4 linked regions of the Stegostoma tigrinum genome follow. The main gene of each other region encodes a partner of the protein of the gene in region 2 in a complex. Links are inferred from orthologs where the notes say so. Each region holds a gene or a part of one and is shown on either strand. Other genes may lie near its edges.

What was found.
Region 1: nup188 (region 2) and nup85 share a complex: the UniProt entries of both Homo sapiens proteins name them as parts of the nuclear pore complex. The link is inferred for Stegostoma tigrinum from reciprocal best matches to the Homo sapiens genes NUP188 and NUP85.
Region 3: nup188 (region 2) and nup153 share a complex: the UniProt entries of both Homo sapiens proteins name them as parts of the nuclear pore complex. The link is inferred for Stegostoma tigrinum from reciprocal best matches to the Homo sapiens genes NUP188 and NUP153.
Region 4: nup188 (region 2) and cetn3 share a complex: the UniProt entries of both Homo sapiens proteins name them as parts of the nuclear pore complex. The link is inferred for Stegostoma tigrinum from reciprocal best matches to the Homo sapiens genes NUP188 and CETN3.

Annotation. Positions count from the first base shown.
Region 1 is NC_081375.1:37,005,152-37,012,439, reverse strand, and holds the start of nup85 (nuclear pore complex protein Nup85), read right to left. Parts: upstream 3,016-7,288; 5' UTR 2,951-3,015; coding exon 2,912-2,950; intron 2,863-2,911; exon of another isoform or gene 2,763-2,862; intron 2,725-2,762; exon of another isoform or gene 2,584-2,724; intron 2,151-2,583; coding exon 2,060-2,150; intron 1,599-2,059; exon of another isoform or gene 1,470-1,598; intron 376-1,469; coding exon 192-375; exon of another isoform or gene 175-191; coding exon of another isoform or gene 157-174; intron 1-156. UniProt on the Homo sapiens protein: Essential component of the nuclear pore complex (NPC) that seems to be required for NPC assembly and maintenance. As part of the NPC Nup107-160 subcomplex plays a role in RNA export and in tethering NUP96/Nup98 and NUP153 to the nucleus.
Region 2 is NC_081382.1:33,834,765-33,842,616, forward strand, and holds the start of nup188 (nucleoporin NUP188), read right to left. Parts: upstream 3,014-7,852; 5' UTR 2,966-3,013; coding exon 2,937-2,965; intron 1-2,936. Other genes in the region: dolk (dolichol kinase), read left to right, coding at 7,715-7,852. UniProt on the Homo sapiens protein: Component of the nuclear pore complex (NPC), a complex required for the trafficking across the nuclear envelope. Required for proper protein transport into the nucleus.
Region 3 is NC_081355.1:33,648,527-33,656,180, reverse strand, and holds the start of nup153 (nuclear pore complex protein Nup153), read right to left. Parts: upstream 3,018-7,654; 5' UTR 2,836-3,017; coding exon 2,752-2,835; intron 1-2,751. UniProt on the Homo sapiens protein: Component of the nuclear pore complex (NPC), a complex required for the trafficking across the nuclear envelope. Functions as a scaffolding element in the nuclear phase of the NPC essential for normal nucleocytoplasmic transport of proteins and mRNAs.
Region 4 is NC_081356.1:93,259,585-93,267,282, forward strand, and holds the start of cetn3 (centrin-3), read left to right. Parts: upstream 1-4,695; 5' UTR 4,696-4,774; coding exon 4,775-4,791; intron 4,792-7,698. UniProt on the Homo sapiens protein: Plays a fundamental role in microtubule-organizing center structure and function. As a component of the TREX-2 complex, involved in the export of mRNAs to the cytoplasm through the nuclear pores.

The sequences.
Region 1 (7,288 bases), on a different chromosome or scaffold from region 2:
GGGTCTAGGCCCGAAACGTCAGCTTTTGTGCTCCTGAGATGCTGCTTGGCCTGCTGTGTTCATCCAGCCTCACATTTTATTATCCCAGTTAATTCGTATTAGTTTTTTGCAACAAGCAAAATACCTGAAGATAGTAAGCCATGTGTTATATTTCAGAGTAAAAGAAAATCTTGAAGTCCGTTTCTACTCACTCTGCTCTCTGGGTTGTGCAATCGTGTTTGGATTTCTGAAGAGTCATGAAGATGCCATGTGACTCGTTGAAAAGTTTACACAGAATTGGTGAGTATATATCTTTGTCGCTGTAGACAACTTGAATGGAGGGCATTCTTGGGGAGCTGTCTGGTGCAGTCTCTGGGGTATGAACAGAAAGGAGGGCTGGGAAATGCAAATGTATGGTCTGCATAAAGCATACCAGACAATAATGCTTTTCAGCTACATTTGATTAGTCAGAACAATTAGAAATGGCTCTCGTAAGGACCTAGTGAATGAAACCACAACATATCACAGCACTAAGCCATGAGTCTGAAAAATTTAACATTTGATTCCAAATCTATTTTCTTAGTTGATCTCAACCAGGGAGCGACCAGTTTCCAAAATATTCACAGTCCATCTTTTATATCACTGCACTTAATCAGAATAATCCAATATTATTCACCAGTTTACCACATACCACCGTGCACTTTTTTATCCAAATCAGTCCCACTGATTGACTCTATCCCCAAAGCAGTATCTTTCTTTTTAATTATTTAAACATTTTGTGACGCTATTTGTCTCAGCTATTCCCTTCAGCAAAGTAATTCATGAGCCCAGTATCTAAAAAACGATGTGCTGGCATTGGAGGGGGCTCAGAGGAGGCTTACAAGAACGAGCATGGGAGGAAGGGTTTGTTGTACGAAGAGTGGTCAAGTACTCTGAATCTGCACTCAAATGGAGTTTAGAAGGCCTTGGGGAGAACTCACTGAAAGTCACAAGATAATGAGGGGCCTAGATAGAGTGCATGTGAAGAAGATCTTTCCACTAGCAGGAGAGACTAGGACCTGGGGCACAGCCTCGGATGACCCTTTAGAACGGAGGTGAAAAAGAATTTCTTCAGCCAGAGGGTGGTGATTCTGAAACTCAACGGCACAGAGGGCTGTGGAGGCCAAGTCATTGGATTTATTTAAGGCAGAGATAGATAGGTTCTTGATTGTTAAGGAGATCGAGGCTTGTGGGGAGAAGCAGGAGAAGATTTAGAAGCATATCAGCCATGATCGAATGGCAGAGCAGACTTGATGGGCTGGACGGCCTAATTCTGCATACACATCCTATGGTACTTCACACTTTAATGACATTCAAATCCTGTGATGCCTTTTTGACACTAACTTTCAAAGCAGTCAAGTCTCATGCAACTGGAGTACCCCCAATACCATGGTGAACCAACCACGCTCCCAAAAAAAGTCTGTACTGTAACACATGGGCTTAATGCTTACCTTAAGCTATTTCTCTATCCTGCTCCCTATGCAGGGTCTGATAGATATGGATCTTCCATTCATTTTACATTATTTCCATTCTTTTCCTTTTGGTTCAGTCAATGAAATTTTTATTCCAAACGATTCATTCTCATGTCAACGAAATGGAAAAATGTAAATGTATGATATTTGCAAATAGATTGGAGTGAACTGTGCCAGGACCGAATAATGCAATGATATTGTACACAAAAATGGTTTTTACTCCCATTTTGCCTTAATATAGCCATCCAATTAATTCCATTTCTCTAATCTTCCATCAACTTCCATATTTCTAAATATTATGATTGAACCCATTTTCATCACTTTTTTCAGGCAGTTCATTTCAAGTCACAACAATACATATTATGTCACGTTGCTTTTGGTTCTTTGTCAACTTCTTATCCTTACTTACTTTTATCACGTGTTGGAGTGTACGCAGAAGTATCTCCATTTAGGCTTTAAAATCCGATGCCAAAATTTGTCAGGTTAAAATGATTGGGACAAGAGCAATTTCTCATTATTCTAAATTACTTAAGGTTGTTTAAAAATAAATAATCAGAAAATCACAGTACCTGTCTGATCATGCCGTGTCGGATACAGCAACATTTGAGTAGGGCCCCATTCAAACCCGATGAACTCTCCAACATCCACTCCTGGAATATCCTAGGAACAACAACAACAGAGAGAAAATTATTTATTTGAAACTCTGTTGTTGGAGAAATATTTTACTGTCTCTCCGAAGAACCGCTGATCTGTCAGACATTGATTTTCAAAAGAAATGTCTGTCCTCATCAGGTGAATACAAAAATACCCTTGAACGTGACTGAAAGATAGCAGGTAAATTCACTTCAACATTCTACCCAACATTTGTTCAACCAGCATCACTAAGACCGGAACATCTGGTTATGTTCATGTGTGTAGGTTCTAACTGTGAGCAATTTGGGCGTCGCATGACATCAGCAACAGCACTTCGAAAGGGAAGGCCGACGTGCATTTTAGTAGCATATCCTCGAACATCCCAATTTGGCTTACAACCGATTAAGTATTTTTGAAGTGTCGAACATGTTGTAGAAAAGGATAATCAACGAATAGTTACACCACAGGAGATTAATTGGCCCACCAGTCCGCGTTGCCTCTGTAAAGAACCTCGGCCATTTCTACTTTCTCAATTTTCCCTGCAGTTTCGCAAAGAAAATACTCCGCGGACCTCAAAAGAGTTTGGGGTGTTTCGAGGTTCTGTTTAAGAGTAGGTCTCCCTCTCTAAAAATGTTCTACCAGGCTGCGGTCCCGGGTCACACGGGAACAACCATCCGATTGTACAACAACTGCTCCGGAGACACTCTTCCTGGCACTGTCTAATGGACGATCGGAAAAAAACTTTCTTCCTCTGTCGAATCCCACCTCTTCGTCTCCCTCACCCTCACCATTGGGATCGGCTCATATTCCTGAAGTGAATCCTCCATCGCGCTCCCTTGGTCACGCCGCGCCGCCCGCTCATCAAGGACCCCATCACTGGGGCGGCCTCTTAGTTGCCTGATCAGCTGATTGTATCCACCACTGAACCACAAACACGCGGTTTCAACAAATGCTGGGCCTGATCTAAATGTTGTCAAGCGGCGACGGTTGAAGAAAATTCCGCTAGTTTCCCAGCATTAACGAACATCAGATAAAACGTGGTCAGTGCTACAGACTGGACCAAGATGAAAAACAGCTAATAGCCCAGATTCCGAAATCACCTTTAGCGAGTCTGTCCTGTTCCACTGATGGAGCAAACCCACAGAGTCAGTTGTATCTTAGCGTCTTCAATGTAATGAAACGAACTTTTCACTGGAACATCATAAAACAATATTTGACACATTAAGAGATATTAAAACAAACCAAAAGCTTGTATCAGAGAAACTATTTAATGAGCAACCTAAAGAAGGAAAATAAGGTAGGTGGGATGAGGGAAGATATTCCAGAAATTAAGATCCAGTCACCGTCACACAAGGGACCAGAATCGAAGATGACATTATTTGGAGGTGGTGGAAGGACTTGATAGTAAGGTTGAAAATTTTGAAATCAAGACATTGCTGGTGTGGTAGACAACGTCGATCAACAACCAGGAGATGGTGTGTAACTTGGTGTGAGTCAAGACTTAGGTTTAACCTGAACTCAAAAGAGGCAACAATGTTGGAGAACAACCAGTATTGCTTATAAATGGTCAAGTCTAGAAGTAAACAGGGAGCATGAATGGTTTCCATAACAACTGAGCTGAAAAAGATGATATTAATAAGTAGAGATAACAAAGTGTAGAGCTGGATGAACACAGCAGGCCAGGTAGTGTCAGAGGAGCAGGAAAGCTGACGTTTCAGATCTGGACCTTCTCCAGAAAACGTCAGCTTTCTTGCTTCTCTGATGCTGCTGGGCCTGCTGTGTTCATCCAGCTCTGCATTCTGTAATCTCAGAGCATCAGCAGTTCCTACTATCTCCATACTAATAAGTTGTCTTAGTGATGGCACAGATCTATGAGAACATAAACTCATCTCAAAGTGAAATTTAACACCAAGGTTCTTAATCTCAAGTTGCAGCCAGGAAGAGGGAAGGGGTCTAGCCAGGGAACAAAGTTTAAAGCAGAAACCAAAAATGACGGCTGCAATCTTCCCAATATTGGAAAAAAAATTCTGCACAGCTATGCACATATCAGGTGATAAATGTCTCATAGATTAACAACAGTGGAGGAGTCAAGAATGACGAAGTGGATTTGGGTGGCATGTACACATGAAAACAAATGTTGTAATCACTGAGGGGCATAATGTAAATGAGAAATAGGAGAAAGCTGAGAAACGATTTCTGAGGGGACTCCAGAAGTAACAGTGTGAGACCAAGAAGAGAACATGTGATTTTTAACCGTGTTTAGATATATAAAAACACAAGTAGGTGACAGTAATCTCATCCAGCTGGATGACAGGCAAGAAGAGTTTTTTTATTCATTAATGGGATGAGGGCATCACTGGCTTGGCAGCATTTCTTGCCCGGGGGCAGTTCAGAGTCAACCACATTGTTGTGGGCCTGGAGTCACATGTAGGCCAGACCAGGTAAGGATGGCAGTCTCCTTCCCGAAAGGACATTAGTGAACCAGATGGGCTTTTCCCTGACAATTGATTCATGATTGTCATTAGATTCTTAATTCTAGATATTTTATTAAATTCACATTCCACCATCTGCCAAAACAGGATTTGAACCCAGGCCCCAGAATGTTATCTGGGTTTCTGGATTAACAGTTCAGCAATAATACCACTAGGCCATTGCCTCCCCTCAAGAGAGGATAATATGGTCCACTATGTCAACGGCTGCAGAAGAGTCAGGAAGAATAAGGAAAGAAAGTTTACTTTGTAGCAATTTACCTTTGCATACAGTTGGGAGAAGTGGCTCTGAGAGTCTCAGGCATCTGGTCAAATGGGCAAGGAAACCTCCTGCCGATGAACACCTACTACCTTCCCTCAGTTGAGCAAACCTGTGCTCTAATGTGTTGAATATGACTTGGTGGAAGCATTGAGGATAGGAAGGGCACAGATGATCCCTGCCCAAGGACTGAACGTCCATTAACAGGCTGCCTTGGTAGCACCACAATTGACCAAGCTAGCAACATGTAGATGAGGGTAGTGCAGTTTATATAGTCTACACAGACTTCGGTAAGATCTTTGACAAAGTCTCACTTGGCAAATTGGTTAATTTGTTCATGGGGTTTGCTCATGGCTTAAGAGCTCATGGGATCGGGGGCAGTTTTGGAAATTGGATCCGGAATTGACAATGGCAGGAAGTCTGGGGGGGTGATAGTTGAACGGTGATGTTGAACTCACACTTACGACATTTGTTAGACCTTAGCTGGAATATTGTGTACAGTTAGGAAAGATGTGTATGCATTGGAGAGACTGCTGATGCAAATTTAAATGAATGGATCTAGGAATGAAAAATTTCAGTAATGAGGACAGAAAGAATAATATAAACCCTACAGCGTGGAAGCAGGCCATTCAGTCTATTGAGTCGACAGTGACCCTCCAAAGAACATCCCATCCAAACCCACCACCGTACCCTATCCCTGCATATCCCATGGCTAATCCACCTACCTTACAGATCCCTGAACTAAGGGCAATTTAGCATGGTCAATGGACCTAACCTGCACATTTTTGGATTGCAGGAGGAAACTAGAGCACCCAGAGGAAACTCAGGCAACCTTGGGGAGAATGTGCAAACTCCAAACATACAGTGACCCAAGGCTGGAATCAAATGCGGGCCCCTGGCACTGCATTGCAGCAGCACTAACCACTGAGCCACTGTGCTGCCAATAGTTTGAAGTTGGGACTGTTTCTCCTTCCAGATAAAAAGGCTGATTAAGATTTGATCGAAGTTTTCAAAATCTTGAGCAGTCACATAGATTAGGCACTGAGAAGTCATTCACATTAATAAAACTGAGGTCATAGATATGTAAAAGAAACAGGGTGATGTGAGAAAAACATTTTTCACACAGTGCGTAGTTGGGATATGGGATGCATTCATTGCGTGGAAATCTGGTGAAGGTAAGTTAGGTTGAGACATTCAAGAGGTCATTGGATGATTATTTGGATGGAAATAGTGTGCCAGAATATAGGGAAAACGCAAGAGGTTGGTGCAAGGCAGTGATGCTAATTTGAAGAGCTGGTGCAGGCATGGGGGGATGAATAGCCTCCTTTTGCACTGTAACTATATGATTCTATGGGATTTTTGTTACTGGAAGTCTGTGTCCAGTGTTATGCCAAATGGCTCCATGCTGGATTCTTACTATTGATGATCTAGACATGAGTCTAGGAGGTAAGATCTGTAGTATCAGAGATGACAAGAAAATTGATGGTGTGGTAAATAACAAGAAGGAAAGCCTTACACTACTAGACTATTTTGCTGGGCCAGTCAGATGAGCTAAATGGTAGCAAATGGAATTTTTTCTTGAAAAGTGTGATGTATTTTGTAAAGACTAATAAGGCAAGGGAATAAACGTTAAATGGTAGGACTCCAGAATATACAGAGGAACCTTGGTGTGCATATCCATAGATTCAGCAGGATAAGGTAGCTGTAAGATAATTGCCATTATTAGTCAAGGGATTAAATACAGGTGCAAGAAGTTTAAATGGAGCTGTATATTACGTTAGATCATGAGAGAGGTGCAAAGGAGATCCACTAGGACATTGCCTAGGCTGGAGTAATTCAGCTATGAAAAGAAACATTAGATAGGCTCAGAGATAATGGGAACTGCAGATGCTGGAGATTCCAAGATAATAAAATGTGAGGCTGGATGAACACAGCAGGCCAAGCAGCATCTCAGGAGCACAAGCTGCTTTGTTTTCTTTGCAGCAGAGAAAGCTGAGGGGAGCTGATTGAGCTGTACAAAGTTGTGAAAAATTAGATAGAGAGAAATGTTTCCCCTTAGTAAAGCGGTTAGTAACCAGGGACATAATTTTACGACAAGAAGTTTAGAGACATTTAAGGGGTAAAAGAAAGAGGATAATGGATATCTGGAACCCACTGCCTAAAAGGATGGAAAAGGTAGTAACCCTCAAAACACTTAAGGAGCATTTGGATGAGCGCGCAAAGTCCTAGGGCTGTAATTGTTTATTATCTATGTTAATGAAGAAGCAAAAAGGAATGTATCCAAATTTACTGACGATACAAAAATAGGAGGCATGGTGTAATTGAGTCATAAGGAATTTTCAAGGGATGTAGATGAGTTAGTGGACAAAAACTTTGGTAGGAAGAATGTCTGACATTACCCGAAAGAATTGTTCACA
Region 2 (7,852 bases):
TATTCTAGGTAGCTGTGGGAGTCGGTGGGCTGGAAATGGACATCAGTTACAAGCTGGTTGCCTGAGATGGAGACTGAGAGGTCCAGGAAGGTGAGGGATGTGCTGGAGATGGCCCAGGTGAACTGAAGGTTGGGGTGGAAGGTGTTGGTGAAGTGGATGAACTGTTCGAGCTCCTCTGGGGAGCAAGAGGCGGCGCCGATACAGTCATCAATGTACCGGAGGAAGAGGCGGGGTTTGGGGCCTGTGTAGGTGCGGAAGAGGGACTGTTCCACGTAACCTACAAAGAGGCAGGCATAGCTGGGGCCCATGCGGGTGCCCATGGCATTATCTCTAAATTTTAATGACTTGTCTTGATAAAAAGACTGAAAATGTTTTGTTTTTATTGAATCCAAATTTAACACTAACAAATTTGTATGTCATTGTGTTTAATTCTGCTATCGTCCAGCTCCAAATTTTAGTAGATATTTTCTGATATAGAAAGCAGAGCCAAAAATTCATCGGAATTTGCTATTCAGGTTTGGAACATGGAGGCCCTATTCTATACTGCACACTCCTCTCCTTGCAGCATTGTCAGTGTATCTAACCCCTGTGGATTGCAGTGCTTCAAGAAGGTACTTTACCACTTACAGAGAATTTAGTGGAGGTACTGCTGACTAGGTCAGCATTGCCACATCCCATGAGTGAATTTTAAGAATTCTGACCCAGATTCAAATCATGTTGAAAGAGGATACATGAATCCTGCATGACCCAAAAGCTATTAAAAACTCCTTGTTAAATTTAAGCGGACGCACACCTCACAGCGCCAGGGACCTGGGCTCAATCCCAGCCTCAGGCGCCTGTGTGCGTTCTCTGTGTCTGTGTCTGTGCTGATTTTGTCCAGAAGTTTCCTTCCACAGTTCAAAGACGTGCAGGTTAGGTGAACTAGCCATGGGAAATACAAGTTTACAAAGATAGGGTGGGGTGGTGAATTTGGGTGGGATGCTCTTTGGAGAGTCAGCATGGACTTGTTGGCTGAATGGCCTTTTTCCACACTGGGGCTTCGATATTTCTACAATAGAAGCTAGCAGCTCCAGTCTGAGGAGAAACAAAACTTCTTTTAATCCCTAGAAAATATTTTAAGATTGAAAATAATTTTCAAACAAATGCTTTTTTAAAAAGAAACTTTACACCAGGGACTGGGGCAGCAAAAGAAAATTGCAGATATTAACTTTAAAGACATAATACATAAAGGGAGTTGGTAGACCAGTGGCAAAATAGCAGTCCCTAAACCCTTTATTTGATGGCCAAAGAAGCTAGTGCTGCCCAAACATACCATACATCAAGCAGGTGGCACGAAGTGCATACCACAAAATGTGACTCATTAACAATAAGTTGCATTTATACAGAATTCAGAGTGGAATCAAAGAGCCAAGTAACCAGCTGCAGTGCTGGAATGACGAGCATGAACACAGGAGAATATCCCAAAGCTCTACACAAGGTAACAGGATAAAATTAAACCAAGCCAAATAAATATTACAACAGGTAACTAAAAACTTCAAAAGAAAAAAGATTTAAAGGGAAATCTTAAGGGAAAAAAGAGAGGAAGAGAAAGGAAATGTTGAGGAAAAACACCTTGGATGTACCACTTAATCGTGCAAGTCAAAATTATCCTGTGAACAAACAAATTTGTCCTGCACAATTGTCAAGATGACACAGAATCATTGAAACCCTACAGTGTGGAAACAGGCCCTTTGGCCCTCCACGTCCATACCGAACCTCAGAACAGCCCACACAGACCCATCCCTCTATAAACCACCTAATCTACACATCCCTATGGGCGATTTAGCTCAGTGAATGTCTCTTGAATGATAGCACCAACATCATTCAGCAGAAAAAGGACACTTCAAAATCAAACGACCTAAAGTTCTGTCACTGAAGAACAAAATCAAAAAAGTTAATATTTGCACTTAAAACATCAACTATTCTTTGCTCCCCACATTCTGGTTGCATGATATATTGGCCATATTTAATCAAGTATCCATAAAAAAAATCTGAACTTCATATCAAGATGATAACAAGTTTACTCCACCATCACTGACAAGAAACTATTGTAACTGCGTGGGCTGCTAACTGTAGAACTCACCAAGCACTACAAAAGTTGTGTTAACAGTACTAGCTCCTCATACTGTCTCCACTGGGTGAAATGAGGGAGAAAATAAAAGGAGAGGTTTTTTTTAAACAAGAAAACTGTATTTTTAATGTTGAAATACAGTCAATTGAAACAAAAGTACGATCCCAGTAACCAGTCAGTCTCATTGACACTATTATAGGAAAGAAATTGCACTGCACTAAACTTTCCTTATATCTTGAACTGGAATAGCCAGACACAGATTAGATGGGCAGACTAAAACTGAATTGTGGAGATGTATGGACTTCTAAATTATAGACGCTGGAACTGCTTTTCAGTGTTGGTAACGACCCGAGAGTATCAGGTGCTATTTGAAGATACTGCAGAACTTTTCAGATCATTGAGCGACAGGAAGGGGGTGGGGGGTTGAGAGAACAGAAACAGTTTCCTGTCAGATTCTCGTAAATTTGTGTCCCTTAACGGAGCGAGGGGAAAATAAGTTACCGGTACAGCCACAATGTACAATGGTCTATCTACGAAGTGAACAAGTTAAAAATCTAAAATTATGATCCCAAAAGAACCAAAACCCTTTCCTGGCACGATAGAGTTTGAACGTAAACTCGTGTTCACCGCGTTCTCATCCATTTACCAACTGTAGCCCCGCGCTCCCACAGGAACCACACACACAGATAGACAGACAAATACCGGCCACCGGGTCTTGTTTCCGAGAAAACACACTTGCTTCGCAGAACTGATCGGCGCAAACTCAAACTGTGCTTTCCATTTTGTTTTTTAAGAAAAAAATAAAGTTTCATATATTTCATTTTACCTCACGTAAGGGCCCGCCGCCGCCGCCATTGCCAACGCACTCACGTGACCAACATCCAAGCCGACCCACTGCACGTGACCATCCATGGGTGCCACGGCCCTCTGCACGTGACTTCAACGGTACTGTTCGTGTCACGTGATTGGCCTTTCATTATGGCCGCCTCCTGGAAGGTGACAGGTGAGTCTATTTGGTGAGAGATAGTAGGAAAGGTGGATGCTAGAGAATCTGAGATAATGAGGTGTAGGGCTGGATGAATAGAGTATACTAAGTAGCATTAGAGGAGCAGGAAGGCTGAGGTTTCGGGTCTATCCCTGAAACCTCAGCCTTCCTGCTCCTCTCTTGCGTTTGGTGAGATTGGTTTTTCTTAAAAAAATATGCACATTAGTTTTAGTCTAGATTTCTTTTCCGCTAGATGGTAATATTCATTCTATCATTATTTTCATTTCTCTACGAGTAATCGAACGCTTTTCTTGCACCAGCGAATTCTTATAAATGGCTATCCCTTGCTATTATTCTTTATCGAAGGCCACTATAGAGATCTGGCTGAGAAAATTATTTCTTTTACTGTTTGACTCCGCTAAAATCCATGTTTTGTAAACCGTTCGTCTGATTTTTTTTTTTAAACGATATTCCGACCCCTCCCTCTCGTTTGAATTTTAACTGGACAGTTAGGGTGTGTACCTTATCTATCTGGAACTAAATGAACAGCTTAATCAAACCATTGCTGTGCTGAAAGACTTATTTGACTATCAGTTTACGTTATCTACCAGTGGTTTGCTATATTTGACTGACACCCCTAATATAACAATTGAAATTTGAGTACTAAACTCTTGATTGTTAATTTTATTTTGCCTGCTTGGACATTTTGTACTGAGTATGTGCAATCTGTTTTCTGAACCCCGCTGTTGCCAATGGGTTGCTGTCAACTGTTTCCATCTAAATACACTCTCAAACTTTCCTTGTCTCATTCGAGTAGAATGAAATTTTGTAAATTTGGTTTCAAATGCCACTGTTTGATGTGCCCTTGGAAAAATAACTAGGAGTTGGTGTCTTTGAAACTGATTACTTGCTGACATTAAACTTTTTGCGTAGGGATTATCAAAGATCGGGTTTTCAACATTGGCCAGTCACTCTCACTGGTTAAATTTAAAACAAAATTTACTCCCAAATGTGTTTAAAAAGCCATGAAATTCCTGACTAAAAATCAAATCAAGGTATTAATACCCTCTTAACATCCTACGTGTGTATATAACGGTGACGTCACAAGTTGCAAGCATATCTTTAGACTCTAAAATTCGAAGAACAATGAAAAATTGCTGGGTTTGTTTCTGTTCTTATGAATGGACTATATTCACTGATGGTCGTTCATTTGTTATTCGTGAAGAAGGAGAAGTACATACATTGTAATGACATTCACTTAAATTTTGCTTTTCAACAAAACACTGGTTAAAGTCATATGTAGTGTGTTAAATGCATTTAGCTTTCACTATTATGGTAGTTAAGTAGCTGCAGATACAGCAATAAACATCAATTCTTGAATCTCATTTCTGAAAAATTGAATCAGTCTGTACTCAGTGGTAGATCCCTCACTAATCAGTCAGTTTGTTGGTTCAAGTCCCACTGTTGAAAATTAAACACAATAGGTATCCAGATCAGTGTGATGCTAAAGGAATGCTACACTGCTGGAAGTTTGTTATTTCAGAAGGGAGGTTTTAAAAAAGGCCCCATTTGATATACTGGGTGAATGTTGAAGATTTATAACATCTTTTGGAATAAGAACGGACAAGTTCCCCTTAGTGTTAAGGCTAATGTTTATCCTTCAACTATCACTAAACAGATTAGCTAGTCATTATTTCATCGAAGATTGTGTAGCCTTGCTGTTTGCCAATTGCCTACTAAGTTGCCACAGTGACTACATTCAGTATTTACTTGACTGTAAAGAGTTTAGGGCACCCTGAGTTTACATAAGGTGCTGAATAAATGCAAGTTCTTTCAAACAATAGACTAATGATGAGATGTAAAAAAAATTGTCTAAACTTTAGGTAATTGTGATTTCTCATTTGTCCTGAATGAGCAGTTTTTGATGATTTTTACTTGTCTTGAATTCGTGATATTCAAACTTAAAGTTTTTGTTTACTGATTTTCTCCAATATGCCTTGGTATTTTGCAGTCCAAGGTTTGCAAACTCATTTTCTCTGTCCTTTTATTAAAATCTAGGTTTTCAAATTACAGTTAGAACTTGGTTTTAATGAACATTAATTATAAGCTTCATTTTTAAACAAATCCTAACTTTGAGAACTGATGGTAGTGTCCTGGTGAGTGTTGCTGAACAAAGAGACCTAGGGATACAGATTTGTAGCTCCTTTAAAGTGGAGTCACAAGTAGACAGGATGATGAAGGCGGCATTTGGCATGTTTGTCTTTACTGGCCATAACATTGAGTGTAGCAATTGAGATGCTGTGCTGTGGTTGTACAGGACACTGGGGAGGCCACTTTTAGAATACTATGCACAATCCTGGACATCTTTCTGTAGCAAAGGCATTGTTAAATTTGAGAAGGCGCAGATTTACAAGGATGTTGCGGTGTCTGGAGGATTTGAGTTTCAGGGAGAGGCAGCATAGGCTAGGGCTTTTTTCCCTGGAGTGTCAGAGGCCAGGGGGTGACCTTACAGAAGTTTATAAAATAATGAGATGCACGGATAGGGTGAATAGTCAGGTCTTTTCCCCTAAGGTGGGGAAGTCCAAAACTTAAAGGGTTTAAAGTGATAATGGGAACTGCAGATGCTGGAGAATCCAAGATAATAAAATGTGAGGCTGGATTAACACAGCAGGCCCAGCAGCTTCTCAGGTGCTCCTGAGATGCTGCTGGGCCTGCTGTGTTCATCCAGCCTCACATTTTATTATTAAGAGTTTAAAGTGAGTGATTTTAAAAAGGACCCGAGGGGTTTTTTTTTACGCACAGGGTGATGCATGTATGGAATGAGCTGCCAGAGGAAGCCATTTAGGCGACTTTAAATTACAACATTGATATGAGTAGGAAGGATTTAGAGGGACATGGGCCAAATGCTGGCAAATGGGACTAGGTCATATTGAGATGTCTGGTTGGCGCAGACCAGTTGGACTGAAGAGTCTGTTTCTGTGCTGTATGACTGAACAGCCATCCCTCCAGGTTTCCACTTCCAATAAGAGGAATTGTATTTTGTGAAGAGGTTTAGTTTTATCCATATGTACAAAAAATAATCAGCTACTGCATTTAAAATCTGTCATAATTTTCCTAAGAAAGAAAACTTCCTGCTTCCATATATCTAATCAAATATCTTGTTGCTCATTCGCATGCTTTGTTTCAAGCTCAAAAGATATAACAAAAACCTTACCAGCAGAAATAGGAAACTAATCTATGAATTATATGTTATTCTTATCTGTGGGTGATGGTAGAAGAGTGAATTTCACATGTAGCACTGTATTTGGACAGAGATCTTGAAATCAAAATGTTTAGTCACCAGGGAGAAAAAAGACAGTTGACGAAAGAACAGAATAAAATGCCCAGAATCACAAAGGGTAGGAAGTCTGAATAATTCAGTAAAGAAAAACATTTGGTGTAACTTTATTGAAGCTGATTTAAAAGGCTATGGAATATTGGTCTCTATACCTCAAGAGAGCTGGAATACAAAGAGGTACAAGTAATGTTACAGTTGAACAAAGCTCTGATTTAGGACCCAGCAAAAGGCACTCAGAATATCAGTGGAAGATTAAAGATCATTTGAAGATGATTAAAATAGGCTAGTAAGACCACACTGTGCTGTGGTGAAAGAACCCAGAACTAGGGAACACAACCTTAAAAATAGAGCTCAGCTGTTCATAGGTGAGGTCTGCAAGCAATTCTTCACATAATGGCTGACAGAAGTCCAGAACTCTGTCCCAAAAGGCTGTTGACTTTGGGTCTGTTGAACGTTTCAGAACTGAGATTGATAGATTTTGTTAGCAATGGCATATATGGAATTAAGATACAGATCCATTATGATCTTATTGAGTGACAGGAGAAGCTCAAGAGGCTGAATGGTCTACTCCTGTTCCTATGTCACAATAGAGAACACAAAACACAGTGCACAATCAATTCTTGTCTTAAATTTATGAGGGCAGAACTTGTACACTGCATCTGCTGCAGTGGCAGATACCACACATCGTCTATGCTCTTTGTCAATAGAATGTTTGTTTCCAGTTAGTTACATCAGATAGATGGTACATACATCAGGCAGCTGAAGCCTGCTCAGTCCAAGTACCCTTAATTCAGCAAAGTGATGCTGTCGGTAGTACTATAACGTTAGTGATTCTGCATCAGTAACTACTTGTTTTCAGTAGAATTTTTGTATTTGTTGCTTCTTAACTTGTGGCTCCCTGCATTCAATCTATTCTAATCTGATGGCATTTCCAAGCAGTACTTGGCATGTCTAACAAACTGTTGAATTTCACCCTTGTAATTGATTTACTGAGACTCCTTCGGCTGATTCACAAGTGGATGAAAAGCCTCACTATAACATTTGGCACTTTTAGGTTATAATCTAACTGTAACTAATACAGTTTACGTTACAATCTCTATTCCAGGTCTGGCAGTCAGTTAGATCTACCCAGTTGCAAAAGTTGGAAGAAAATTCAATGAAAGGGAACATTCAACAACATAATTTCTGCCAGATGAAATGGAACCCCAAACGCTTTTCGGGATTCTACAATAATTAAAACTTTCCTCAGTACGGTGTACATCATAAGAAAAGTCTTGCAGCAATGTTGAAAAATCCTGTCTTTGTGGAGTCCTTCATTGTTTTCATCATCGTGTTGTCTGTCCACGCTGTGATCTGGAACATCTTTACCTGGTGCACGCTTGCCTTGGCGATTCAGGCTTATTATGTTCAGCATAAGTGG
Region 3 (7,654 bases), on a different chromosome or scaffold from region 2:
AACAAAGTATAAGTAGAACATAAAAGGTAGTTTTGAATGAGGTGATCTTTACAGGTAGTGGAGGACAAAAGCAGGCATGGACATATTTGCATCAAAGCAATAAAGGCATAGTTGAGTTTCAGTAGCAGAAAGGTTTACCCCATAGATGCAAGCGATATTATAGAGTACAGTACAGCACAGGACCAGTCACGTGGCCCACCAAGTTGCCATTCTAAACCAATCCCATCTGCTTGCATATGGTACATATTCCTACATTCCCTGCATATTCACATCTTTAAAAATATGACTATTATAAACTGCCAGCATGCTTCTACATAAATGCAGAACGTAACAAGAACATCTTACAGGTTAACGTAAGTGCTATTTACAATAATAACAATAATAATAATAATTATTTGAATTCAGAATCTCAGTTCAGATTTGAAGAGGTTGAAGTAAATCTGGGTCAGCAAGATTAAACTGGAGATCCAAATACAATGGCTTCAGCCTTGTTCTGACTGGAAGCTGACCCAAGACTGAGGATGATACCATCAGAAGGCAACATGCAAGTAAATAAAAGGAGGCTTCCATGGGTCTTCTGAACAAAGGCATAATGGTATAGGAAAAAAAGTAATCACTGGAGATAATCTAGTTACAATCATGTTAGGAAAGGTGGAACAAAGAAGTCCCATTTACTTCGAACCTGGAACACTGGTGCATTTTGAATTCCCAATTTTCTTTTGTGTACCAATGACACAGCTTCTACAGAATTCCTTTCACAAAATTTTCCACCTCACCCTCCTCCAAGAGGAGTTTTAAAACTTTGCATCACTAACTTCTATCTGATAACACTTTGTGAAGCTAGGTTTAAAGCACCAAATATATATAAGTTTAGTTCGGTAACTTGCAACGTGTTTAAAATGCAAGACTGCGATACTCTAAGACTGTGTGTACTGACAATGAGTTAGTGTACATGAAAACAAATAAGTGGCTGGAAATAAGACTGAAGAGTGAAAGATACAACAATCTAAGGGAGGTAGCAATAATATTTGAAAGGTAAAACATAAGGTGAGGTTTAACTATATAAAGAGTATACACAGCAAGTGTAACCATAATCCTTAAAGTAGTAAATAACTACACATTTCATAGATGCGGGACACACACAAATGCATGCTTTTAGCAGGTGAAATTCTTTCCAGAACAAAAATATCAATATGGTCCTAATGACTGACGTTCGGTTAGTGATACTCATTTGGGTCACAGGGTTTCAAATTTAAGATTCATTCAAAGTTCAGCATAAAAATCAAGACTGGCAGACCAGCTCAGCACCCAAATGTGTCCTGCACCATGGAGATGCTGTAGCCCAACTGCCCCTCAGGTGGATATAAAGGGTGTCATGGAACTGTCTCAAAGAAGAGCATCAGAGAACGATTACTTGGCCCAACACATTTGTTTGTTGAAGTTTTGTACGCACAAACTGGGTGTCAGGTTTTCTTTGTTACAAGGATGAAACTTTAATGACTGTAAAGTGCTTCAAGATGTCCGTACTTGCGCATTATATTTCATAAATTCACTTTTTCCCTCCCACATATTAACATCTGAGATCTAAGAAACAAGCATCTTACTGAAGGGCTGAAACAAGCCTACAGTGCCGATTATGCACTTCCATTTCGATAAGAATGCATCAGCATGGTTTGCAAAAGCCTATCACAATGAAGCAATACCCCCTCAGTATAGTTGGGAATGAAATATAAAAGTTGTGTGGAAATTATTTTTGAATGCCAAGTTTCTGAACACAAATAAGACCGATCTTCCAACCAAAATGCTTTCGGTTGTTTTTGATACTAACAACCTCATATACTAGTACTAATTGTAATAATTTTAAAATCAGACTGTTCGAATATAAATCCCTCAGGTAATATACTAGCTGAAGTTCAAAAAGCAAAGTGTCCCGTCAAAATGTAAATTTATTAAGAAGTCGGTGGCAACAGTTGAGTACTCCAGATACCGGCAGCGTGAAGTCCTCATGTCAAAGTCGCAGCTGAGCCACCCCCAAACCCACGATGATCGTAGAAGAGGAAACTGGTTAAAATGCAGTACACGAATGTACTGGCTAAAATCGCACTTGTACGCCAAACTTCCACAACAGGAACAGCAGTATTCGAAAATGTTATGGAAGACTCGCTTTAAAGGAACAAATCAAGTCCGCGCCAAAATGCCCATGGCGGCACGCGAAAAGGACGGAGACCGGAGCAAGCCGAAAGACTACCCAGTGAAGCTCAGGCCAGAACGGGAGATTGAAGGAAGAAAAACAGGGCAGCGTAGTAAAACAGGGGAGACGAAGTCGAGGGAAAAAAAGGAGAGAAAGTCGCTCTTACCAGCCGGCCGTGGGAATGCAACCGGAAGCGAATAACAAGCCGACAAGAAGCGTCTCAACAGCATTTATACAGTAAACACTAAACACAATGAAATAAATCCCAGAGGGGAGAGATCCATTGGGAGTTACAGCTCCGTCGTCAGCACCTTCTACCCGCCTCCAGCCTGTTTTTTTTACCTTTTTGAACAGGTCGGGCCCAAGTTTGGTCCCGACTCTGCCCTCAATCGCTCAGGCCGCTGAAGCCAGCCACTAGGCCGCGGCTCGCGCACACCGTCTCTGCCGAGAAAGCGGGGCTCACGACAGCCGCCTCCTCCTGCAACGACTTAGTTAAACCTAACGCGGTCCGGTTTGGCAATCCTTTCTTTAGAGTAACAACAAATAATAAAATAAAATACCTGGTTCTTAGCGTAAGGTTTGCTGATGATATGGTGTCTCTTGTTTCGGATTTTACCCCCCCCTCCTCCTGTCGCCGCCGCCATATCTGAATCCGTCTGCCTACCAGTCGCTCGCGCCGCTCTCTATTTCCTAGCAGCCGTGTCCGGGAAGAGGTGGGGGGGGAGGAGGGACGGAGAAGGGGGGAATCCACACTTGTAACGTCACACGCTTTCTACCGTCTCCCGCAACCACGCACTTCGCAACAAGCATTCAACCAACCATCCGCATGCGGGCGCGTTCTCGCTCACTCGCACGCAAGTGCCTTCCCTCAGGGGAAGGGTTTTTCCCCCAACGCACGATGCGCGCTCAAGAGACAGCATGCGCCAAGCCTGCGTCACCCCGCCGCCAGACGCTGCCATTGGCTCCGCCCAACAAACGGCCCGCAAAGCATCAAGGGAGCAGAAGGAAGATTAGCGCATGTGTTAACTTCCGCTTTGCCCTCGTCTCCCCACCATGTTTCTGTGCTTCTGGTCTTTAGACCAAAATATTTCTGAGGATGGAGATCGGGAGGGTAATACGGGTGTACGAAATCTACATTCTCTCCTCAGGATGTCCATCTCTGGCTCTACGAACGTGATTGACTTGAGCTCAAGTGGATCAGTGAATTTTTCAAAGGGATTCATTTGGCTACAGAATCTGCGTGCTGATCAGTTTCGTGCTTGAGGGAAGGGGAATTACTGACCAAAACTTACTCAAGGGAAACCAAGATTACCTTATTGAAAATGTGAAGTGTGTAAACGGTCATTGGTTTATTCCAAAATATTACTAGACTGAAATCAGACAGTGTTATCTAACATTGAGAAAGCAGCTACAGAGGGTCAAGAAAGTTTCGCCGAAATATTATGAGTCATTTTACATCACAACTGTGTCTCCACCTCATTACAGGCGTCATGGATTGCGTGTAAGGACGTTGGAAGTCATGACGAGTACTGTAGAAATGTAAAATTTAACTTTGTACTGATGCGAATTGACTTATGATTTTTGGCGTTTACTTATGTGTGTGGTGGCAGCAATCGTTGAATTTTTTATCCTCTGGTGATTCCAAACGCAACCTACTACCGATGCTGTAATTCAAGCAAACAAAAAAAAGTCAGGTGGCAGTGAAGGGGGAGAAATTAATTTGGTTCTAGTGAAAGTTCTAAACTCAACTTTCACTTATACGTTCTCCTTAAAAACCATATGACCATAAGAAATGGGAACAGTTGCAGGGCACATTGGCCCTTGATTGTGCTCTGCCTTATTTTTCACTCATTCAAGGGAATGTGGGCATTGCACGCTCGACCAGCATTTATTGCCTGTCCCTAATTTTTAAGTGCCAACCACATTGCTGTGCATCCAGAGTCAGATGTAGGCTAGACCGGGTAAGGACAGCAGATTTCCTTCCGTAAAGGACATTAGTGAACCACATGAGTTTTCCTGACAAGCAACAATGCTTTCATGGTCACCAGTAGACTCTTCTTTCATGTGTTTTTTTTTCATTGAATTCAGATTCCACCATCTATCATGGCAGGATAATAAATTTGATAGGAGCATAGCTCATGAGACAGTAAGATATAGGAGCAGAGTTACGCCATTCGAATGAGTTCTGCCATTCAATTATGGCTGATATGCTTCTCAACGCCTTTCTCCTGCCTTCTTCCTGTACGTTACTAATCAAGTTCCTATCAATGTGTCTTTCTTAAAGACAGTCAATGACTTACCTGCACAGCCTTTTGTTGTATCAAGTTTCACAGATTTACCAGCCTCTGTTCTGAGGGTCATTCTTTAATTCTGAGGCTGTGCACTCAAGTCCTAGTCTCCCCTGCAAGTGGAAACATCTTCTCCACATCCCCCCTCTTCAGGCCTCTCAGAATTCTAAATTACGATACCCCCTCATCCTTCAAAACGCTATCTAGTTCTTCAAACACTTGTTGTATGACAAGCCGTCCATTTCCAGGATCATCCTTCTGAACACTCCCCCCCGAGGCAGGGTCATCCTTCCATACGTACAGGGCTCAAAATTGCTCACAATATACCAAATATAATCTGGCCAGAGCCTCATACAGCGTCCTTAGTACATTCCTGCTTTTGTATTCTATTCCTCCTGAAATGAATGCTAACATTGCACTTACCTTCTGAACTGAATCTGCATGTTCACCTTGAGAATCCTGAACTAGGACTCCTAAGTCCCGTTGTGCTTCAGATTTCCAAAGCCTTTCCCCAGTTTACAAAGTAGTCCAACATCTATTTTCCCTATCAAAGTGCACAGTTTCACACTTTTCCATATTATATTCCATCTGCCACTTCTTTGTCCACTTTTCCAGCCTATCCAAGTCTTATAGCTTCCCTCAACGCAGCCTGCCCCTGCACTTATCTTTGTGTCATGTGCAAATTTACCAACTATGCCGTGAGTTCCTTTGTCCAGATCATGATGTCTAACATGAATAGTTGTGGTCCCAACACTGACCCATGTGAAACTCCATTGGTCACGAGCTACCATCCTGGAAAAGATCCTTTTATGCCCACTTGCTGTCTCCTGCCAGTCAGCCAGTCATCTGTCCATTGCCAGTACCTTTCCCAGAACACCATGGGCTCTTATTTAGCAGCCTCCTGTGTGGTACCTTGTCAAAAGTCTTCTCTAAATCCAGAGAATCCCTTACACTGACTCTCCTTTGTCTAACGTTCTTATTGCTGATGCCCACTTTCCTCTGTTTTCTTTGTAACCCATCATTCCCCTACCGATCAAGAATCTATCTGTCTCAGCCTTAATTATACATAAGGAATAACATTAGTTCTTAGTTTAACATTTGTTGTTAGGGAATTACTAGACTCTAAATTCACTTATACAAAGATTGAACACCTTTAAAAGTTTTTTAGATTTGTAGCTTGGGTTGTGGATGAGTTTGTAGACTTGCTCACTGAGTCGATCGATTTGTTTGCAGATGTTTTGTCACCCTGCAAGGTATCATGGTCAGTGCGCCTCTTGTGTAGTTTTGGTATTCTTTCCTGCTTGTTATTTATATGCCTTGGTTTACTGGGGTGATTGGCATTATTTCCAGTTCTGTTTTTCAGTGGTTTGTATATTGGGTCCAGTTCAACGTGTTTATTGATGGAGTTCTGGTTGGAATACAGGTCTGCATGAATTCCCTTGCATTGAACACCTTGAATTGTTTCAGTTGACCCAAGAAAGATTGCACAGATCTACCATAAGGTGAGAATTGGGAATGTTTGGCAATGATTGCACATTGGTCACCAATCATTCCTTATCAGCTACTAAAGCAGTCAATATCCATATGCAGGAAGACCTAGACAACTTTCAGCATTGAGCTAATAAGTGCCAAATAGTATTCAAACTGCAAGTACCATCTTGACTTGTAACTGTAAGTCCTTCAATTCCAAGGGGTCAAAATCCTGGAACTCTCTAACACCCCAAGAACTGCTACAGTTCAAGAAGGCAGCTCAGCATCACCTTCTCAGGGGGAATCAGAATGGGCAAATAAATGTCAGTCCAGCCAACAACAGCCACAACCCACAAATGAATAAATAAAATTACACTAGACAAACCTGATTCAATTTGATCTTCATAGTTTTAACCGTCAACTTGAATATTGAGTCTGATCTGGGCACCATACTTTTGAAAGACCTTAAGTCTTCAGAAAAGATGCATAAAAAATTTAGCATAATGATTCCAGGGATGAGGAACCTGAGTTACTTTGACAGATTTGAGAAGGTTGAGAGAAGATTTGATAATGTATTTGAAATCAGGAAGAATCAAGACAGAGCATCTTGGGAGAAATGGTCTGCTGTTGGAGAATGATTGAGAACAGAAGGATACTGATTTAATCTGAGAAGCACACAAACCAACAGCAACATGCAGAAAAGTATTTTTATGCAGTAATTGACTAAGAATTGGAATGCATTGCCTGCGAGTGATAAAGACAATTTTGACCATGACTTTTATAAGGCACATTTACAAGGCGCCTAATTAGATAAGCACCTGGAGAAGAAAAGAATGCAATGCTACAGGGAAAGGATTAAGGAACGGGACAAGATGAGTTGCTCTTGTGGTGAGTGGGCAGATACTTATTGAGCCAAATATTTGCTTCTTGTATAAGAACAAATCAATGATTTTATATTTTGCAGAATTAACTGAAACAACGGACGTAGGAATATCTATGGATGTTGTTGTATGAATTTCCAAAAGATGTTTGATAACTCCTTATTAGCTAAATTTGAAACTCATGGAAGTGTACACAATTGTAGTTAGGAAATTGGTAGAGTGGGAAGAGACAGAGTAGGCCTGAGTCATGACTTGCGATATTCCACAAAGATCTGTGTTGGGGCCTAAAGGCACATCTATTAAAGAACAAAGCCACAAATCCAGCATACATGCAGTTTAAATATGAACATATTCTGAATAAACATAATTATGGAAAATAATATTTACAATGAACCTAAAAACTTCAGAACATTATCCATGATGAAAAGTATCAAGCAGTGAAGGTTCAAAGAGATGTGGGCGCTGTTTACATGGATCTAAAATATTAGAAATTAGAGTAGCAGATGGAGTTAGAAGAACTCAAGTTAGTCAATAAAAAACCCTTGTCAGATCACAATTGAGAGTAGTGTGAGTAGTTCTGTGCACATCTTAGGATAAATTGCATTGCAGGGTACACAGTGTAGTTCAGCATTTAAATACATTAAAATGAAATCCAGAATCCAAGGATGAAATTATGAAGAAAAACAGAAAGTGATTTGTTCAAAGTTTAAAATATTAAGGAGAATGATTAGGGAAGGTAGAAATTAATTATGCTGCCTGGGAAGGCTAGTACTTTGGGGTGTCAGCTTTAAAATTATAGCTAGATCTTCTCAGAAGTGAAATAA
Region 4 (7,698 bases), on a different chromosome or scaffold from region 2:
GGAAATGAGGCCAGGTGCATTTTTTTTTGTAATACAGGGTCAGGTAGAACATCAGCACTACGTGACATATGGTGTTTGCGTATTGAGGGACTAAGCATAGCACACAAAGGTGGCCATCAGGATGAAGATAGTAAAGTGTGGAGATGGATGAACACAGCAGGCCAGGCAGCGTCTCAAGATGCTGCTTGGCCTGCTGTGTTCATCCAGATCCACACTTTTTTATCTTGGATTCTACAGCATCTGCAGTTCCCATTATCACAGGATGAAGATAGTGTTGAGTATGTTTTCTGCCCTTCCCACCCCACTTAACTAGAATTTTGTACATGGTGTCCCTTTTGACACAGTCCATCTTTCACCTCTAAATGAAATGGAAGATGCCTTGGGTGACTGCAGTGATACAGGTTTGGGGAATAGGCCAGACCTTTACCACATACAGTAATATTGATTACCTCACCTGATGATGAGGTTTTTACCTGCAATAGATGGGAATGTTACTCCCACCCCTGCCCAGTTTCTGCTTCACCTTGGTGATGACGTCCTTCAAAGTTTTGGTATATACCCCCACCCCCCCTACGTTTTTCCAGAACCTTCAGATAAACTGCTTGATGGGGATAAAAAATCGGTCAGCCCAGTTCCCAAAGAACATGATCTTGCTGTTGCCTTAATTTACTCATGAGGCCAGTTCAAGCTGGTCGCAGATGTTCATGATTCTATACACTGACAGTGAATCCAAGCAGAAAATGGTGATATGATCCCGATACAGGGTGACTTTGACCTGCAGGCCTCTCCTGCCTGGAATAGTCATCATACTCAGGCTCACATCCTTCCTGATGGATTCAGAAAAAAAGGCTCTCTGCAACATGCAAACAAGGCAGAAGAGAGTGAGCAGCCCTGCCTAACTCTAGATGTGATTGAAAAACTTTGGTTCCCACCCAGTAATTGAATGTGACTTAGAGCCATAGAATCATAAAGCACAGAAACAGGCCTTCAGCTCAACTTGTCTATATGGACTCTAAATATGACCTTACCAATGTCAGTACAGCCATAACATGACATCCCAATTCCTGTACTCAATGCTCTGACTGATGAAGGCAAGTGTGCGAATTGCCTTCTTTACCACCCTGTCTGTGACGCCACTTTCAAGGAACTATGTACCTAAGAACTCATTCCAGGCCCCCATCATAAACTGTAAGTTCTGTCCTGGTTTATCTTACCAAAATGCGGCACCTCACATTTATCTAAATTTAACTCCACTGCGATTCCTCAGCCCACTGGCCCATCTGATTAAGATCCTGTTGTTCGCTTGAGATAATCTTCCTTCACTGTCCACTATACCATCAATTTTGGTGTCACCCACGAACTTATTAACCATACTTTGTATATTCTCAACTAAATAGTTTATATAATTGAGAAACAACAGTGGACCCAGCACTGATCCTTGCAGCAGACTGCTGGTCCCAGGCTTCCAGTCTGAATAACAATTTTCTACCATTACCATCTGTCTCCAATCGTCAAGACAATTCTGTATCCAGTTGGCCAGCTCCCCCCGATCCCCTGAGATCTAACTTTATTAAGCAGTCTACCATGCCCAGGCCTTGTTGAAGGCTTTGCTAAAGTCTATGTAGACAATGTGTACTGCTATGCATTCATCTGTCTTCTTGGTCACCTCTTCAAAAAAAACACTCAATCAACTTTGTGAGACATGTTTTTCCATGCATAAAGTCATGCTGACTACCCTTAATCAGTGATACCCGGTGTGGCTTCCTCTACATTGGGGAAACCAAGCGGAGGCTTGGGTCGGCTTTGCAGAACACCTACGCTCGGTTCGCAATAAACAACTGCGCCTCCCAGTCGCGAACAATTTTAACTACCCCCCCCCCACCATTCCTTAGATGACATGTCCATCATGGGCCTCCTGCAGTGCCACAATGATGCCACCCGAAGGTTGCAGAAACAGCAACTCACGTTCCGCTTAGGAACCCTGCAGCCCGATGGTATCAATGTGGACTTCACAAGCTTCAAAATCTCCCCTCCCCCCACTGCATCCCAAAACCAGCCCAGCTTGTACCCGCCTCCCTAACCTGTTCTTCCTCTCATCTATCCCCTCCTCCCACCTCAAGTTGCACCTCTATTCCCTACCTACTAACCTCATCCCGCCTCCTTGACCTGTCCGTCCTCCCTGGACTGATCTATCCCCTCCCTACCTCCCCACCCATACTCTCTTCTCCACCTATCTTCTTTTCTCTCCATCTTCGGTCTGCCTCTCCTCTCTCCCTATTTATTTCAGAACCCTCTCCCCATCCCCCTCTCTGATGAAGGGTCTAGGCCGGAAACGTCAGCTTTTGTGCTCCTGAGATGCTGCTTGGTCTGCTGTGTTCATCCAGCTTCACACTTTGTTACCCCTAATCAGTACTTGCCTTTCCAAATGCCTGAAGGTCCTGTCTCTCAGAATCCCCTCCAACAACCTAACCACCATTGGTACACTCACCTGACTGTAGTTCCCTGCCTTTTCCTGCAGACTTTCCTAAATAATGGCACCTCACCTATGACTATAGGTGATGTAAATACCTCTGCTAGGGGGCCCATAATTTCTTCCCTAGCTCCGAAAAGTAGTGGAAGCATTTGTGGTCGTCTTCCAGGATTCTATAGACTCTGGAATAGTCCCTGCAGATTGGAGGGTAGATAATGTCACACCAAGATTCAAAAAGGGAGGGAGAGAGAAAACAGGGAATTATAGACCAGTAAGCCTAATGTTGGTAGTCGAGAAAATTCTCAAATCCATTATCAAGGACTTTATAATGGGGCATTTAGAAAGCAGTGGCAGGATCAGACAGGGAATGCATGGATTTATGAAGGAGAAATCATGCTTGATAAATCTGTTGAAATTCTATGAAGATGTAACTAGTAGAGTTGACAAGGGGGAGCTAGGTGATGTGGTATATTTGAACTTTCAGAAAGTGTTTGACAGAAGTCCCACATAAGAGATTATTGTGCAAGATTAAAGTGCATGGGATGGGGGAAAGTATATTGAGATGGATAGAAAATTGTTTGGCAGAGAAAAAACAAAGAGTAGGGATTAATGGGCCCTTTTCAAATTGGCAGGCAGTAACTAGTGGGATACCATAGGGAGTGGTGCTGGGACCCCAGCTATTCACAATATATTAAATGATTTTGATGAGGGAACAAAATGTAACATCTCAAAGTTTTCTTATGATACCAAGTTTGATGGGAGGGTGAACTGTAACAATGATGTAGATGCCTTCAGCATGGTCGGACATGTTGGGTGAATGGGCAAATCAAAGGCATTTATAGTATAATTTGGATAAATGTAAGGTTATTCACTTCGGAAGCAAAAACAAACAAGCAGATTACTACATGAATGGCTGTAAATTGGGACAGGGGAGTGTGCAGCAGGACCTGGGTGTCCTTGTGTGCCAGCCACTGATGTTAAGCATGCAGGTGCAGCAGGCAGTAAAGAAGGTAAATAGTATGTTGGCCTTCATTGCAAGATGTTTTGAGTACAGGAGCAGTGATGTGTTGTGGCAGTTATACAGAGCCTTGGTGAGGCTGCACCTAGAATATTGTGTGCCATTTTGGTCTCCTTTTCTGAAGAAGTATGCTTTTGATCTCGAGACGGTGCAGTGAAGTTTTGTACCAGGCTGATTTCAGGGATGATGGGACTGACGTATGAGGAGAGATTGACTAGAATAGGATGGTTTTTGCTGGAGATCAGACAAATGAGGGGGGATCCTATAGAAACTAATAAAATTCTAACAGGTCCAGTCTGTAGATGCAGGGAAGATGATCCCGATGATGGGTGCGCCCTGAGTCTGGGTGTGTCAATGGTCCGAGTCTAAGGATTTACAATATACCATTTAGGACGGAGATGGAACATTTCTTCACCCGGAGAGTTGGTGATCCTGTAGAATTCATCACCACAGGAAGTAGTTGATGCCAAAACATTAAATGTATTCAAGAGGTGGCTAGATAATATAGCACTTGGGGCAAATGGGATCAAAAGTTATGGGGAGAAAGCAGGATTAGGCTATTGAGTTAGATGATTAGCTATGTGTGATGAATGGCAGAGCAGGCATGAAGGGCTGAATTGCCGCCTCCTGCTCCTATCTTCGAAGTTGCGCACAACATCCTGGAATACACTTGGTCAGGTCCCGGGAATTTATCTACCTTATGTATTTTAATAACTCCAGCACCACCTCTTTTGTAACGTGGACTCTTTTCAAGATATTCCTATTTATTTTCCGGAGTTCCCAAGCTGCCATGTCTTTCTCCACAGTAAATTCCGATGCCTTTACTGGTTTATGATCCTTCCCAGTTTTGACCTTCGAGTTGAATTCGGTGGGTTGATGCACAGTTTAGTATGCACTCTGATACAATCAACACCACTTTTGAATTCTGACTGCCAGTTTTTGCAAAGTATTTTATATACTGTGAGAACAGTTGTCTGTAGTCTGTCTGGAATGATTACCTATGGCCTCCGCACCTCCCAGCAAAACTCTCTGCGCCACGAACCCCGCCCACGGCCTCTGATGTGTAACCGCGCTCAGCGAGCTTCCATTGACGGTTGGCGAACATCACATTATTGACACCTCTCTTACCCAATTGGAGGATGTGGTTTGCAGGTTGTCCTATCGTAAGCGGAGCTGGTGATGCCCGATTCTGCCGAATGGGCACAGAGGAGAGTCGGAAGGTGGGTCTTGGCGCTGGTACGTCCTCCAGGTTTCGTTGAGTGCAGTCGGGCTCTGTTACGGCTGCGATGAGTTTCCCGCTGAGGTAGGTCGCTGCTTGGTGTCATTGAACGGAGAGCCTTGAAAAACAAAAACCCTGATTTCCCCCCCGCCTTCTTGGTGGGGTTGGGGTTGGGGTTGGGAGGTCAGTGATCCCAAAACGGCGTCCTCTTTGATTTCTCTTTTTTTTGTACAGTTTATGTCAAATATGCGGCCTCTATGTCGCCAGTGGGCAGTTTCTATCACTGCCCTGTGGTGAGGAGGCCGAACGCTAACACCGCCGTTGACAGTTTCCTACACAACGGCTTGTCCTTTTAAACGCCTGAATTACCCGTAGTCTCTCAACACTTCCATCGGCATCAAGTGCCTTTGTATTCGGCCTCAGTTACGCTACTGCTTGGTTTAGTAGTTAGGATTGTGCTGCACAGTGCCATCTAACCGTGTGTGAGTATTGTCGCTGCTGTTTTTCATTTGATTAGCCAGTATCTGGCATGTGTAGCCTCAGTGCCCGACGATGTTCTGGAATTTATCGGTTAACTCGATACAAGTCACATCAGCCACCGCTTTAGGATCATTAGTTGTGGATCTTCAGTTGCTGGAGGTGACATACACCCGTGCAGGGACCCTTCTGTTTGCCAATAAAAGAAGAATACCCAAGCGTTGTGAGTTTTTGAATTAGCTGGGAGCTTGCAGTACCCCTGCTGCATTCTCCATGGCAACATCTGTTCAATCAGAGATAGCAGGAACTGCAGATGCTGGACAATCTGAGATAACAAGGTGCAGAGCTGGATGAACGCAGCAGGCCAAGCAACATCAGAGGAGCAGGAAGGCTGACGTTTCGGGCCGAGACCCCAATCAGTTGACTTGCCAACCAGTCTTTCTGTTTTGTGATTTTTGTTTTTCTGATTTGACTATTTTTGTAGTAGGCTGGTTGGCTGTAACTGGTGGAGTAACACAAGGACCAATACTTAGGCCGTAGCTGTTCACAATATTTATGTGTGTGGCGTATCAATGACTTAGAGTCTGAGTCGTAGAGGTGTACAGCACGGAATCAGATCCTTGGGTCCAACTCGTCCATGCTGACCAGATATCCTAAATTAATTTAATCCCATTTGCCAGCATTTGGCCCACATCCTACTAAACCCTTTTTATTCATATACACATCCAGATGTCTATTAAATGTTGTAATTGTACCAGTCTCCACCACTTCCTCTGGCAACTCATTCCATACCGGCAGTGTCTTCTGCATGCAAAGGTTGCCCCTTAGGTCCTCTTTAAATCTTTCCTCTCTCACCTTAAATCTATGCCCTCCAGTTTTGGACCCCCCTACCCTGGGAAAAGATCTTTATTTATTTAACCTGTCACTGCCCCTTATGGTTTTATAAATGTCTCTAAGGTCATCCGTCAGCCTTCGTCACTCCAGGGAAAATGCAGTACCTCACATTTATCTAAATTAAACTCCATCTTTCACTATTCGGCCCTTTGGCCGCTCTGATCAGGATCCTGTTGTACTCTAAAGTAACCTTCTTTGCTTTCCACTACACCTCCAATTTTGGTGTCATCTGCAGGCTTACAAATCATTGCTCCCATGTTTACATCCAAATCATTTATATAAATAACAAAAAACAGTGCACCCAGCACTGATCCTTGTGGTACACCACTGGTTACAGACCTCCACCACTACCCTCTGTCTTGTACCTTTTGAGCCAGTTTTGTATCCAAGTGGCTAGTTCTCACTGTATTCCATTTGATCTATCCGTGCTAACCAGCTTACCATGAGGAACCGTGTTGAACACCTTGCTGAAGTTCAAATAAATCATGTCCATTGCTCTGCCCTCGTTGATCTTCTTTGTTACTTCTTCAAATAACTCATTCAAGTCAGCGAGACATGATTTCCCAAGCACAAAGCTATGTTGATTGTCCCGTGTCCTGGGGATTTATTCACTTTGTGCATGTTAAGACATTCAGCATCACCACCTCTGTATTTTGGACATTTTTCATGATGTCACTGTTTATTTCCCTATGTTGCCTATCTTCCATATGCTTCTCTGCAATAACTACTGATGTGAAATCCTCATTTAGTATCTCCCCCATTTCCTGCGGTTCCACACTTAAGTGGCCTTGCTAATCAAAAGGAGCCCTGTTCTCTCCCTAGTTAATCTTTCGTCCTTAATGTATTTATAAAATTGCTTCAGATTCTCCTTAATCTATTTATCAAAGCTATCTCAAGTCTCCTTTTTGCCCTCCTGATTTTCCTCATTAAGTATACTCTACTGACTTTATACTCTAAGGATTCACTCCATGTCTATACCTGACATATGCCTCCTTTTTCCTGATCAAAACCTCAATTTCTCCAGTCATCCAGCATTCTCTACACCGATCAAGCTTGCCCTTCACCCTAACAGATTCTCTCTTGGACCCTCGCTATCTCATTTTTGAAAGCTTCCTATTTTCCAGCCATCCCTTTACCTGCAAACATCCACACCCAACCAACATTTGAAAGTTCTTGCCTTATACTGTCAAAATTGGCCTTCCTTCAATTTAGAACTTTAACTTAGATCCGCTCTATCCTTCGTCATCACTATTTTAAAACTGTATTTCCAAATTATGATTTGATACAAAGCTAAATGAGAACATGTTTTGTAAGGAAGATAAAATGTTGCTTAGTGGGATTTAGACAAGGCTCAGTGAGTGAGCAAGAACACGGCAGATGGGATATAATGTGGGCAAAAGTAAAGAAGTTACCTACTTTGGTAGAAGAAACAGATGTGTGGAATATTTTCAAATGGAAACCACTTGGAATGTATAGATGTACAAAGGGACCAAGGTGTCCTTCTTGATAACTCATTGAAAGTTAACAGTCAGGTGCAACAAGCTATTAGACATCTAACAGAATGCTAGCTTTTATTGCAAACCATTTAGCTACAGGAGTAGTGAAGTCTTTCTTCAAATT